2 linked regions of the Bombyx mori genome follow. The protein of the gene in region 1 binds, or shares a complex with, the protein of each later gene. Links are inferred from orthologs where the notes say so. Each region holds a gene or a part of one and is shown on either strand. Other genes may lie near its edges. The genes, in order: B-cell receptor-associated protein 31 and mitochondrial fission 1 protein.

Region 1 (6,793 bases):
GTTGTGTGTTTAATCAACAAACTCAATAAAAAACAAAACTGCTTCTTGCAATGGCCGCAAAAAGTATTTTAGTTTTTTAAATTTAAACTAATGCTTGTTCATATTGAAAACTCATGTATTTGAGTAATGTATGCTCCCTTTAAAGTTTCAATCGTCAATGACTGTTCTCATCTAGAATGACATGGCTGTCTTTGTAATTTGTTTAATATTATGTTTACACTTTATAGTAGAACATACTTACAACCCTACATACTGTTTTCACTTTCTGATGATATAATAAATTAAAATATTGAGACAATTATCCCAGTCAAGTAAGAACAGAACAAAATATGTATTCTTGAACTGACTAAATATAGGATTGCATTTATTTTAGAATTTACAAATTGTTTTCAGCTTTTGCAGCTATCTTGTATAAATAGATTTAACAGGTTCTTACAATGATTTTTACATTCCACTGTTCCTGATATTTTAGTGCTTGCTTGCTACGACTTCATTAAGTAGTAGTTTGTTTAATGTTACGATTGGACAGTCAAAACAAAATAACTATAAACTTTCTAGGTTGCTAGTATGATGATAATTTTACCTTTTCACTATCGCCAGCTTTGTTTTGTTGGTCAGTGACATCTTCGAGGAGTTCAGAAAACTCACATCTAAGTCTATTGTATCTTTGTAGTGGAGTCTCCGGGTCACCTTCAGCTGCTAGCTCCCATTCACCAACTCTAAATAATTAAAAATAAATCTGGTGTGTATAGATAAGCCTACTTTGATTAATAATAAAAAATTGAGTTTGATTTAATTGTAATGAAAACCCACCTGTAACCAATTCGAGATTTTCTGCTCAATTTATCTGAAAAATCTACAGGGCCAGTAAGGAACTTCCCTTTGAATTTATTGAAAGAATCCTTGACCGATAAGTGCAATTGTTCGATACACTCGTTCTCCTCCTCCTCATAAGGCTCCGGCTGATCGGCTTCCGGAAGATCATCAGTTTCATAAACATCGCGTTGGTCATAGGCCTACAAGAAAGTTCTTGTTATACATTTAATCTCCGACGTGTACAATATATTCCTATTGAGTATACTTACAATGCCGGGTAGATTTTCATATTTAGGATCAGCCATTTTATATATTGTAATGTTGAAAAAATATAAGCACTAGTTTGAGAATAAATAAATAAATGTTCCGTAATATGAATCAGAAATTTTGTTGGTCTGTGATGTCACGTCAATCGAATGAAAAAAATGTGTATAGCCTATGAATCGAACATAGAGCCTTGAAGCCTTTCTTGTTTTGATCTGTAAAATAAAATAAAATAATTGTGATATTTTATGAGCTTGTTATGGGTGAAATTTAAATCAACCCATACGTGCTAATATACTTATTTAATTTACTTAAATGGCAAATTATAGCTTCAGTTTTTTTTTATTGCTTAGATGGGTGGACGAGCTCACAGCCCATCTGGTGTTAAGTGGTTACTGGAGCCCATAGACATCTACAACGTAAATGCACCACCTACCTTGAGATATAAGTTCTAAGGCCTCAAGTATAGTTACAACGGCTGCCCCACCCTTCAAACCGAAACGCATTACTGCTTCACGGCAGATATAGGCAGGGTGGTGGTACCTACCCGCGCAGACTCACAAGAGGTTCTACCACCAGTAATTACGCAAATTATAATTTTTGCGGGTTTGATTTTTATTACACTTTTTTTTTTCCTACCTAAGCTGATAGCCTTGACAGGCTATTTCAGCGTAACCCTAACGTTTGTAGGTGAGCTCACGGGGCTCAAACCTGATGACGTTGCTAACACGAACCCTAGCAAGAGCCGTGCTTCGCAGAATCTACCACCGGATCGGAAACGCGACCCACTGAGAAGATCCGGCGAGAAACTCAGTGGGCTGTGTCTGGGAGTTAATTAACTCGTCGAGCCCTTCGTCGCAAGCGACGGGTTCGACCAGAACGGTGACCGGTGCTTGAAGTACCTAGAAGCACCGTTAGTGGATCGGGAGGATCCGATATGACGTGTTTTGGGCGACGTCGACTGCTTTCCATTCTGTCCGCAGGATCGGGAATGTAGTTACCGGCGGCCACGATGAGAGGGTTCTCGTGTCGTGCCGCTTTAGCGAAGTGGACCTGACGACGATGCTAGCACGAACCCTAGCAAGAGCCGTGCTTCGCAGAATCTACCACCGGATCGGAAACGCGACCCGCTGAGAAGATCCGGCGAGAAACTCAGTGGGCTGTGTCTGAGAGTTAATTTACTCGTCGAGCCCTTCGTCGCAAGCGACGGGTTCGACCAGAACGGTGACCGGTGCTTGAAGTACCTAAAAGCACCGTTAGTGGATCGGGAGGATCCGAGATGACGTGTTGGTTCTCGTGTCGTGCCGCTTTAACGAAGTGGATTTTTTACACGATGTTATTCCTTCACCGTGGAAGTCAATCGTGAACATTTGTTGAGTACGTATTTCATTAGAAAAATTGGTACCCGCCTGTGGGATTCGAACACCGGTGCATCGCTTCAACACGAATGCACCGGACGTCTTATCTTTTAAGCCACGACGACTTCAATGTTTCAGAATTAGTAGGCAGATAGGTAATAAGGTGCATACAACGAGTCTAGGATATTTTTTCATTAAATTACAAAATAAATGGAAAACTATAGAACATTAATATTAAAAAATTTTCACTACCTAGTTTCAATTATTAGCACACTTTTCTGGTTACACATATCAAATTTTTCTTATATTAGTTTACTCTTTAGTTTGCTTTATCTATACAATTTAACACGTAAGCGTGCTTTGATATAAAAAGAACTGATGTATTATTTTGATTTTAGTTTTTATCTGTGCTTAAAGTATAGTGAAGTAGTCTGTGAGATCCAAAGTCGACCGTCCGTCACAGTCTGAGTCATACATAGAAGTTTTTTTTTTCAATTTTTAAATCTATCGTCACTCTTGGCCTAAGAATTTCGTCATAGTTTGTTGTTCTTCCACTATCGTTTGCTGCATTGTATAGCTAATAACGGTGTTAAAGAAATAGTGAAATCATGAGTCTGCAATGGACAATTATCGCGACGTTTCTCTATACCGAGATCGCAGTCGTCCTCCTTTTAACTTTGCCGATAGCCAGTCCGAGCAGATGGCAGAAGTTCTTCAAATCGAAATTTCTAGCTTACATAAGCGGGCAGGCATCTATTTATTTTCTGATTCTCATTGGCGTGCTAGTATTATGTCTGCTAGATGCAATTCGTGAGATGCAAAAATATTCAAATATTGAACCGTCAGACCACCAGCATCTCGACGCCGAAATGCAAGGTAACATGAGATTGTTTCGTGCACAGAGAAACTTCTACATATCTGGCTTTGCACTTTTCCTCCTTGTCGTCATCCGTCGTTTGGTTCAAATGATTTCACAACTGGCTACATTGTTAGCTCAGTCTGAGGCAAACTTCCGCCAAGCTCAGAGTGCTACCACTACTGCTAGAACTTTGTTAGAGAAGCAAGGCACTGGCGAGGAACAAAGCAAGAAAGAAATAGAAGATCTGAGGACCCAAATTTTGAATTTGGAAAAGGAACTTTCAAAAGAGAAGAAAGACAAAGAAGCTGTAAAATCACAAGCTGAAGGTTTGAATAAAGAGTATGATAGACTCGCTGAAGAGCACAGCAAGCTACAGAAAAAGCTAACAGTTTCTGGTGAAGGTGATTCTAAGAAAGATGAGTAAATATTAGACATTACAGAATGTATGAGTCTGATTTTGATGAAACTAAATGTTGTCTATGCTGCTTCTAGTATTACTGTGTTGATCTATTTTAAAAGTATATTAATAATAGTTTGTCACTTGCTATTTAAATGTTTTCAGAAAGTTGCATTACACATCTGGACTTTGGAATCAGCTTAACCACAAACATTACTGATAATGAAATGAAAAATAAATTAACAAATTTTCATGTTCGTAGTTCATTAAAAAGAAAATCAAAATTTCAACATTGTTATATTGCTTAAATTTTATATTTAGAAATCCTTAAAATTTCAAAAGTAAATAGGTTAAGCCTTAAAATATATTATTGTTAGCTTTTTTAATTTTTTATTATAATTTTTATTTTAAGCTGTTGTTTCTTAACTTTTAGGGTTTTTGGTGTCAAACATGGATTTGTGTATGAAAAATGTGAATTGTAAGAGTGGATCTAATTTAATATTCCTTAAATTGTGTTTTGTCAATTAGGAATAATCAGATTTTTATAATTTACTAGTATTTTTATTGGAAATGAAAATGAATACATGTTTTTAATTGAAAGTGAACACCAATCTTTTGTAGAATAATAATGTTTAAAGATATTGCATTTGTGATTAATTCTCACTTTCAATTTAGATGAATTTGAAAACTGTAGCACAATTTTCATCCAAATCATTTTCAGATTCTTATTAACCACACAACTTCTCAATAGGAAGTTGAGTTCTGTTATTCAAGCCTGAGTTTTTTTTCTTTTCGGAACAGTAATTGTTTGTTCTTAATTGTAATGTAAAAAAGGCACGAATAACTTTGGAATAGGACTGCTTATTAAAAAAGTCTTGAATTGTTTATATGCTGGTTTGATTAAATAAAATACTTTTTTGAAAAACTGCATTTATTATATTTCTTCAAAATGTTCGAAAAACTTCCATCTACCTCCCATATTAATTTGTTTACCTCAAAACTTTTATTACGATTTGTAGGCCGCAGTGATAGAGTGAAGTAGTAATTAATACATTTTGGTTTGGGAAAGCTTTTGTACTATAAATCTGGGACTTGTCTCAAGATAGGTGGTATTTACATTGTTGGGTGTCTATGGAGCAGTAGCCATTGAAAACCAGGTGAGCCGTGAGCTCCATATGCAGTAAAAAAGGCTAACCAAAGAAAAATGCATTTGGCAACTTTAAATTGTAGATTTATACTTGAACATTTTCTTCGGTTTTCGCTCCGGTGTCGGTTTGTAAAATAAAATGTCCGTAATGTAAAATTGTAAGTTAATAATAAAATATACATAATGAAACTGCAATATATGTAATGACAATTAAAAACACGATATTTAAGGGTTCGAGCAATTTTAATTACTTAGATACTTTAACTATACAAATAAATAAAATTGAAGTGTCTAATACAATATATTACAAATATTAAAATAACCGCTTTTAGCTACATGCATATTCATGAATGTAAATACGGTACATATACCAAAAATTTTTTTTTACAATTTTCGTCTGTCTGTCTATCCGTCTGTTGTTCCGGCTAATCTCTGGAACAGCTGAACTGATTTTGATGAGATTTTCAGTGGCAGATGGCTGATATATCTAAAATTATAAAAAAAATTTTTTGTCTGTCTGTCTATCCGTCTGTTGTTTCGGCTAATCTCTGGAACAGCTGAACTGATTTTGATGAGATTTTCAGTGGCAGATGGCTGATATAATAGGGAATAACTAAAATTATTAAAAAATATTTTTGTCTGTCTGTCTATCCGTCTGTTGCTCCGACTAATCTCTGGAACAGCTGAACTGATTTTGATGAGATTTTCAGTGGCAGATGGCTGATGTAATAAGGAGTACTTAGGTAACTAAAATTATTAAAAAATATTTTTATCTGTCTGTCTATCCGTCTGTTATTCCGGCTAATCTCTGGAACAGCTGAACTGATTTTGATGAGATTTTCAGTGGCAGATGGCTGATGTAATAAGGAGTAACTAAAATTATTAAAAAATAAAGTAATGTTTTGTTAAATTCCACGCGGACGAAGTCGTGGGCACAGCTAGTTAACACTATTTATGGACTTTGGTAAATGCTGAACAACAAAATATAGCCTCTCATTTATGGTCTTTCAATGCACGTCATCTTCGTTATTTTCATCTATGAATATACCGGTTAAATAACAACAATGTAATTTTGCATTTCGCGCGAAAATAGAGGTCACTTGTATAAAGTGATGAATCGCTTCAGTCATAATACATAGCTGTCTGTTAAAATTAGATACCTATGTTCATTGTTTGTCAATTAAATTAAAAGTTATGTTTATTATGACAACCTACTTTCGTGGTTCTTCGAAAATCGATTATGATGTTTTTTTTTCAAAAATGATTCTACCTACATTACGAAAAAGTAACAAAAAATAGTTGATTCTCATATTGTATCCGACATTGCGCGACGTATCCGAAAAAGCCACGTAGGTGCATTTGCAGGTGGAAGCGTTTCTTTGAATTCGTACGAAAATATCTCGTAACGAGTGACTCATCAGACAATAACTATTCACTGAATGACGTAGGTAGCTCGATATTGATTAGTAAGAGGTTAAAAATTATATGATGCAATATCAGCTCTGAGGTGTGCTGTTGGAGTGCGCAGGAGTACTGGGGCAGAATTTAAATTAGACAAGGTCTTTTATACGCGTCAAAGGGTGTCTAATTCATGTCATTCACAATTTGATAATGGTGGTATGACCTCTTGTGAGTCCGTCCACTTCGATAAAGCGGCACGACACGAGAACCCTCTCATCGTGGCCGCCGTGGACGTCGCCCAAAACACGTCATCTTGGATCCTCCCGATCCACTAACGGTGCTTTTAGGTACTTCAAGCACAGGTCACCGTTCTCGTCGAACCCGTCGCTTGCGACGAAGGGCTCGACGAGTAAACTAACTCTCAGACACAGCCCACTGAGTTTCTCGCCGGATCTTCTCAGTGGGTCGCGTTTCCGATCCGGTGGTAGATTCTGCGAAGCACGGCTCTTGCTAGGGTTCGTGTTAGCAACGTCATCAGGTTTGAGCCCCGT
Region 2 (7,033 bases), on another chromosome or scaffold:
GGAGACATCCACAGAGAAACTTTCAGCTTATATAAAACAAAAAAGGTCTAGGCATCACAAGATCATGCTCTAGATTATTACTTTATCCAGATAGTTTTGTGTTTACACATGTGTAAAAGTAAAAAATTATTTTACAAAGTGTTAGAAAGACATTAGTCATTAGACAAAGAAATTTCAAATTAAATAAACACAATTCAACACTTCAGTTGTGCTTGACTATGATAACTTTAGTCATCTTGGGCGATGGTTGTAATTATAATGTCTTTCCAAATACAAATGGACACAAAGAAAGTTTTTATTTAAGACGAACACAAAATATACAAAGAAGGTGAAAGTAACAAGAAATAGATAGTCCAAGCAACACAAGCGGTACACGAAACAAAAAGTAATAATTAAAAGGCGTAGTACAGAAAGAATAACACGGGATGCATGCTCGCATATCAGATTTCGACTGGTGGCGGTGGATCGGTAAAAATGCAACGACCGGTTCGTCTATGCACCGATGTACTAGCGAAATATTATCGTCGCCGCTATACTGCAGTTATCGCCCGACTTTAGTTGTGGATTTAATTTTGTTTAGTGTAAATAATGTTTTGTATGATTGTGTGATAAATGAATGTGTTGATATAAAATAAAGTAAGTATGTATGTGTTGTTGTGTAGTGTAATTATAATAAAATATTATAAAATAAATAAATACATGTGAGTCACCCACAATAACTACAAAAATTTTGAAATAGCTATTGCAAAATGACAACTTCTTGCGGAGGTTGTCATAAAAACTGAAGAAGCCGTGATATCTATTGTAACTTACAAAAATTGTTTTAGCTTACTTGTTTACATCGTCTGTAGCATGGCACATTTCGAGTTATAAGGAATTGTTTGTCTGCAGGAAGGTAAGGCCTAATCTTAGCTTCCTCTCCCTTTGCCCACTGCCAGGTAGGGCAGTGGTGTACCAGGTGGTCACCAGCAGCTACAAACTCTTCAGGAGTCAGTACACCAGTTTCTTGAAATTTCGATTCCTAGAAATAAGTGAAGTTAATATAAATAAGCCTTTGGTTTGTTTTCAAATTTCTTAGTAACCTAATTGACTTGCAAATGATCCTCAAATCCCCATATTCTGGAATTACCGTTCAAATTGTGAGACACTCACTACAGAATATTACATTTTAAATAAATATGAAGCATAGAAATAAATATTTATTTTTACAGGGTAAAAAGATTATCAATATGTTCGGTCAGTCACCGATTCATATATATAATGAGTAATTTCAATATGTATGTAATTAATAATGATCGTGATAAACGTACCTTCAACACCGGTGTCAAGTAACCGGCCACGCCAAGAGCAGTTCCCTTTACTGTGTTTATTACACTTTGCATTGTGATGTCCCTAATAGGATTATGGGTTGTTAAAAAAACTATGAGCTGTCTTTTACACTATCTACTACGTATACCTAGCAATTGCCGGCCCACAAAAGAACTTATCAATTTGACCAAATTTGACAATTCAATTTGATTTGATTTAATTCTTTGTTCAAGTGTTTTCTCGTTCGGTGGTTACCGTTCTCGAATATATTAAGTGTATAATCTATGGTTACCGTATGTACCATAGATTTTAAACCATGGAGTTAATAAGTATAGTAACTCTATGTTTTAAACTTAATCTCTGTCTGTAATTTTAATTCAGTTTAAGCAGTGACACTTTTGCTGCAGGGATCTCGAACATTGTACCTATGCGTGTGTTGCCTGTGGTATTCGTATCGTTAGGTTTTCGCTCATGTCATGTCATGCGGCCCGTACACACGTTAACTCTCTCCAGGTCATCCAATCTTGTTTCTGCAGGATAGCCGTCAGAGCGTCGTGGTATGTGAGGAATGTAAATCTTCACGACGATCTAAATTTAGTACCGATTCGTAAATATCTTATGGAAGCGTCAGAAGGTCAGAGCGTTATTCAACAAAACGGTGCCACACGCAAGTAGATTATGCGAAGCCTACTCTAGTAGGACTAGTGGTAGCAAATTCTTTCAGGTCGAGTTTGTGAGCTTACCTAGCCGTCGGGAATAGCTTCTTAAGCTACCAACGAATAAATAGAGAAAAAAAATCATTTGCTTGAAAAATTGTAGCGAGATATGACTTTAGTCTTTTCTATAAAGACTTTTAATCCCTTTGGCTTTGTTACTAGGTCTTTTTTATAATACTAAGTAAATGTACTTTCTAACTTTTTCAGTACCTAAATTATTTCGAAATATACTGTGTGGTCGGATGTTTTTGCCTTTCTTAACCTGGAAAAACTTAAGTGCCACTGAATCATCATGAACGATGTCAAACATTCAATGTCAAAATTGTCAAACAATCCATAATTCCATTTATTCTGCATTGCAAATCTACCAATTTCTCGTAATAAACCTTACACGGTACACCTATTTTTCTTTTTGTAAACGTTAAATATCTAATCAAAGTTATCATTTATAGTAACCGGCTACAATGGAAGACGTATTAGACGAGATTGTTTCATCGGAAGATTTGCAAGTAACGATTAAAACTTTGTTGTTGATAGTGACTCACAAATAAATTTACAATTGTTCATAAATCTTTGTTTGTTTTTTTTTTTGTAGAAATTCGAGAGGGTCTTTCATGAACAATTGCATCAAGGGAACGTTTCCCACAAAGCCCAGTTTGAATACGCATGGTGTTTAGTGCGCAGCAAGTATCCAACGGATATACGAAAGGTACATTTATTTACAAATACATAGTATAAAAACTGACGTCAATTTTACAGATCTCATTACAGTGGTATGTCAGAATATTATGCATATCATCAACTTGACTTGTTTTTGCCAAATTTGCTAAACAAAGCCATATTTATATATTTAAACATTAAGATATCTAAATATTTAATACAAATATACTTAATATAGAATACTATAGTCGGATTTTTTATTAGACGAAGTCAACTGACGTTTACTGTGTTGTCAGTTTTTGATGAAATAAAAATAATGTTGTGACAAAGTGAACGATTGAAAAAACTCCTGAATTAATAAAATTGCCTCGATTGTCTAGTGAACAGTTGGTGTGCCGAATTGCCGATATCGGGTACGGGTTTCGAATTTTAGGCGTGCTTTGTACATACCAACGAGTTTTCGACGAAATATTATGTTCCTATAGTATCTACCTGTACTGAATACCGAGTGTTTTAATTAAGAAAAACACTGCGAGGAAGCTTGTAAGACTGTCATATTTCCAATACATCATGTAGTTGAAATTATAGATGTATAAAATATAACAATTATAGGTAGGTAATGAAAATAAAAAAAGCTGATTGTAGTTACATACTATTAGCAACATATATTGGAGCACTTTAATACAATTTTATTGTAAAATATAAATAATACTCTTTTATAGTTTGAAATTAATGATTAACTCTTCACACTCATTGTTCATTTGTGATTGAACGAGAACTGAACGCATCACTATTACTTTAAATATAGCAACATTATTTCACAAAGTGACATTAGCTACTGTCAGCTAGCTTCGTCTAATTAAAAATCCGACTATAGCACTGAATATCACTACATTAGAAGAAACGATTGTTGTTTCTGATATTTTTAAACCATTCATTTCATTTCCTGTTAGTTAAGTGTTTTTATTATTTTGAATGTGTATTCCAATGGACACATGAGATTGATAATTAAAAATAAATGGAACTCATCATGGCTTAAAGGATGAGTCTGCAGTGTACATGTTTCAAGGGATGTTACAATTTTAGTGTTAAAGTCTCATAGGCATGTGCAAGTTTTTTAAGGACTGACTTCCAAGGCAAAGAAATTATATTACATATTTAACTAAAAACCAATTATTATTCCACAACTTGCTTAATAACTACTGGTAACAGGGAATACTGTGTATAATTAATGTTCACACTGGTAGTCAACACTATTTTGTCTATTACTGCCACATAATAGTCATGTTTTCTGGTTTGAAAGGTGAGACAACCCTTACACAAAATAATTGAGACTTATCTTAAAGTCAGGATGGCAAAGTTTACATTATGATATATATTTACCAGTCTGAGCATAGTTGGAATAGCCCCTTGGGCTACCAATGATTAGGGAAAACATTTAAGAAAACAATTACCTCCTTTCGGACTTTTGTTAATAAGATAATGAATTCAAATCATTAATTTTTTTATTGTTTTGTCTTAAGTTTTAATCTTTTAAGCATCAAGTAAAAGCAGAAAAGAATGTATAATTTACTTGACAGCTGGAACTACAAAGCACGCTTAAACATTTCAAGTCTTCAGAAGTTCTAAGATGAGTATACTTTACAGGGAATCTTACTTCTTAAAGAATTGTTCAACTCTCATCCTGAAGGCAAACGTGACTACCTTTTCTACCTTGCCATTGGTAATGCCAGAATAAAGGAGTACAATAAGGCTTTGCATTATGTGAAATCATTCCTCGAGATTGAACCCGCTAATCAGCAAGTATTGGCATTAGAGGTAAGATCAGCTATAATAACATAAGTTCGAATGGCAGAATAGTAGAGTAGATACATGAGAAATCTTACATTTGAAGATAAATAATGACATTAGTCAGTTTGGCAATAAGTCTGAAGATATGAGTATGTATATGTGTTTTTTTTTGGGCTGTCCGCTGAACTTCATATGAGATTGTGGTAGGGCCAAACGAGTCCCCTAGCATATTTCACCCCTCGTTTGATCTCCGCCTGGAGTCAGACCCAGTCAGAATAGGGAGGTACTAGTGATGAACAATACAAGAATGGCCAGGCCACCCTTAGGACGTCTGACCGAAAGGTTGCCGAGGCGACAGCCGACAACTTTACGTCGGCCCCGCTCAGAGCCGCTGATGACACGGAATATCCTGTTAAACCAAAACTGGCCTACTGGGTTGGGAGGGGATACACCAACAACCATAAATACTGTCCCACAGCAGTTCTGTAGAACTATTGTCTTAAAGCAAAATATATCACAATAAATAATATATAATCGTATATAAGCCCTTAATACTGGTTCAAGAAATAGTGAGTAGTGAACCTTTTTTGACAAAGAAAAAAAATTGAAAAAGAAATTTGGTAAAAGTTAATGTAGTAAATTTCTCTCCAGCTACGCATTAAGCCCTCACCTCAAGCTTCTACTATTTAGGTATTTCTAGTTATCCTAAGTGCTCTTCTGGCGGTCCACTCACCACTCATCATTCCATTAACCATAGTTATTAAATGCTACTTGTTCATAACCAATCAGCAATAAAAAAAAACTATTAAATTTTGAAAAAAATATTTTATTCATTCTAGCGTCAAATCAATAAACGTATGGAAAAAGAAGGTTTAATTGGAATGGCGGTGGCAGGAGGAGCTGTCCTTGCCCTTGGAGGGCTCGTGGGACTTGGAATCGCACTTGCTTCAAAGAAATAGCATTTAGCCTTGCTGTGAGTAGTTTGGACAACTTAAATGTGTGAGAGTAAATATTGCCTATTAAAAATTTAAGGTTGAGACTTTAATAATATTTAATCGTGAGCTTATCTCTTTATTTATTTAACAAATCATATCTAATGTTCTAGGTACAATTAATCAAATTATGTATTTGTACTAAACACAAATTCTACATTCAACGCTATTGGAATTTTTGGCAACTTTTTGGTATTTCTGTAGATGGGCATCCAAGTTCACAGCACATATTGTATTCTGTGGTTCCCAGAGACGCCACAACATAAATACTGCCACTCACTGTGACATGTGGTTAAAGTTTCAATTGTATACAACACTAGAACATGTGTTGTATACAACACTAGGCAAAGTAGACCCTTGCCTACTTTGCCTAGTGTATTCACAGCTTTAGGCAGCTAGAATGTTGTGTATCTCCAGCTATGACGACCCATGTAATTGTAATGTTTTGATATTTTTTATTTAAATCGATTTATATTATTTACAGAATGAATGCTGCTCTAGGTGTTCATTATCTCTTTAAGAGGAAGCAAATCAAAGAGGACTAAAACTTCATATGAATTTAATTAGAAATCATCCTATATCTCGCTGTGCAATGTATGTTATTTTGTTTTTGTCTATTAAATTAATAAAATAATAAACATCTAAAAATGCTTCTAGTTTGATAGTTCAGGTATCTAAAGAGTGTTGAGTTTATAGTTCGAATGAAATATGTGATATTATTTTTTCTAGATTTAGGTACAATGTAATTAGTAATGTTATAAGCAACAAAACGATTCCATTAGAATAAATTTATATTTTTTTGTTTTGGTTCCATCGTTTCCATATTTTACCACACTCAATAATCAATTGTCGAGAGACTTACGTGAGGACACAGCGCATAAAAATATTGGCCAGCATACTTTTGGATCTGTGAATGAATTTGTATATCTTGGTTCTCTGATAACGAATAATAATAATATAACAGCAGAAATAGTTAAGAGAATACTGTCGGCGAATAAATGCTACTTCGGCCTGCTTAAATATTTCTGTTCCAAAATTCTGTCACGAAATATCAAAATTCTTTTATACAAGACCCTACTGAGACCCATTCTTATTTATGGCTCAGAGACATGGGTACTCAGCAAAAAAGATGAGAACCGTCTACTTGTGTTCGAGCGTAAGATTCTAAGACGGATATTCGGTGCTGTGCGGGAAAACCAGATATGGAGGACGCGCTATAACCACGAGTTGTATGATGTTTACAAAGATCCTAACATCATAACAACTATAAAGATTGGACGCCTACGATGGGCAGGACATGTGGTTCGAATGGAGAGTACCAGAATGCCAAGACAATTGCTCTATGGCAAACCAGAGGGCCGCAGAAGTCGTGGCAGACCCAAACTTCGATGGTTGGATGGCGTGGAGCGCGACCTCAAAAATATCGGCGTCAAGAACTGGAAGGAGAAAGCCCTGAACAGAGCAGTCTGGAGAGACATACTGGACCAGGCTAAGGCCCACCCTGGGCTGTAAGGCCTAAGATGATGATGATGATGATGAATAATCAATTGTGACGATTTGATCAAT

The links.
Region 2: the proteins of B-cell receptor-associated protein 31 (region 1) and mitochondrial fission 1 protein are in contact, whole or in part, in a crystal structure (PDB 8XWX), measured with the Homo sapiens proteins. The link is inferred for Bombyx mori from reciprocal best matches to the Homo sapiens genes BCAP31 and FIS1. Residues at the interface, in NP_001132913.1 of Homo sapiens: Asp224, Leu227, Glu228, Ala231, Lys232, Ala235; in NP_057152.2 of Homo sapiens: Arg52, Val56, Glu59, Glu60, Pro63, Lys64, Lys89.

The regions. Positions count from the first base shown.
Region 1 is NC_085114.1:13,893,040-13,899,832, reverse strand, and holds B-cell receptor-associated protein 31, read left to right. Parts: upstream 1-2,597; 5' UTR 2,598-3,046; coding exon 3,047-3,721; 3' UTR 3,722-4,619; downstream 4,620-6,793. Other genes in the region: dynactin subunit 2, read right to left, coding at 584-719, 814-1,016, 1,086-1,121. UniProt on the Homo sapiens protein: Functions as a chaperone protein. Is one of the most abundant endoplasmic reticulum (ER) proteins.
Region 2 is NC_085110.1:17,563,221-17,570,253, forward strand, and holds mitochondrial fission 1 protein, read left to right. Parts: upstream 1-2,307; 5' UTR 2,308-2,488; coding exon 2,489-2,533; intron 2,534-2,619; coding exon 2,620-2,733; intron 2,734-4,331; coding exon 4,332-4,502; intron 4,503-5,314; coding exon 5,315-5,434; 3' UTR 5,435-5,448; intron 5,449-5,951; 3' UTR 5,952-6,115; downstream 6,116-7,033. UniProt on the Homo sapiens protein: Involved in the fragmentation of the mitochondrial network and its perinuclear clustering. Plays a minor role in the recruitment and association of the fission mediator dynamin-related protein 1 (DNM1L) to the mitochondrial surface and mitochondrial fission.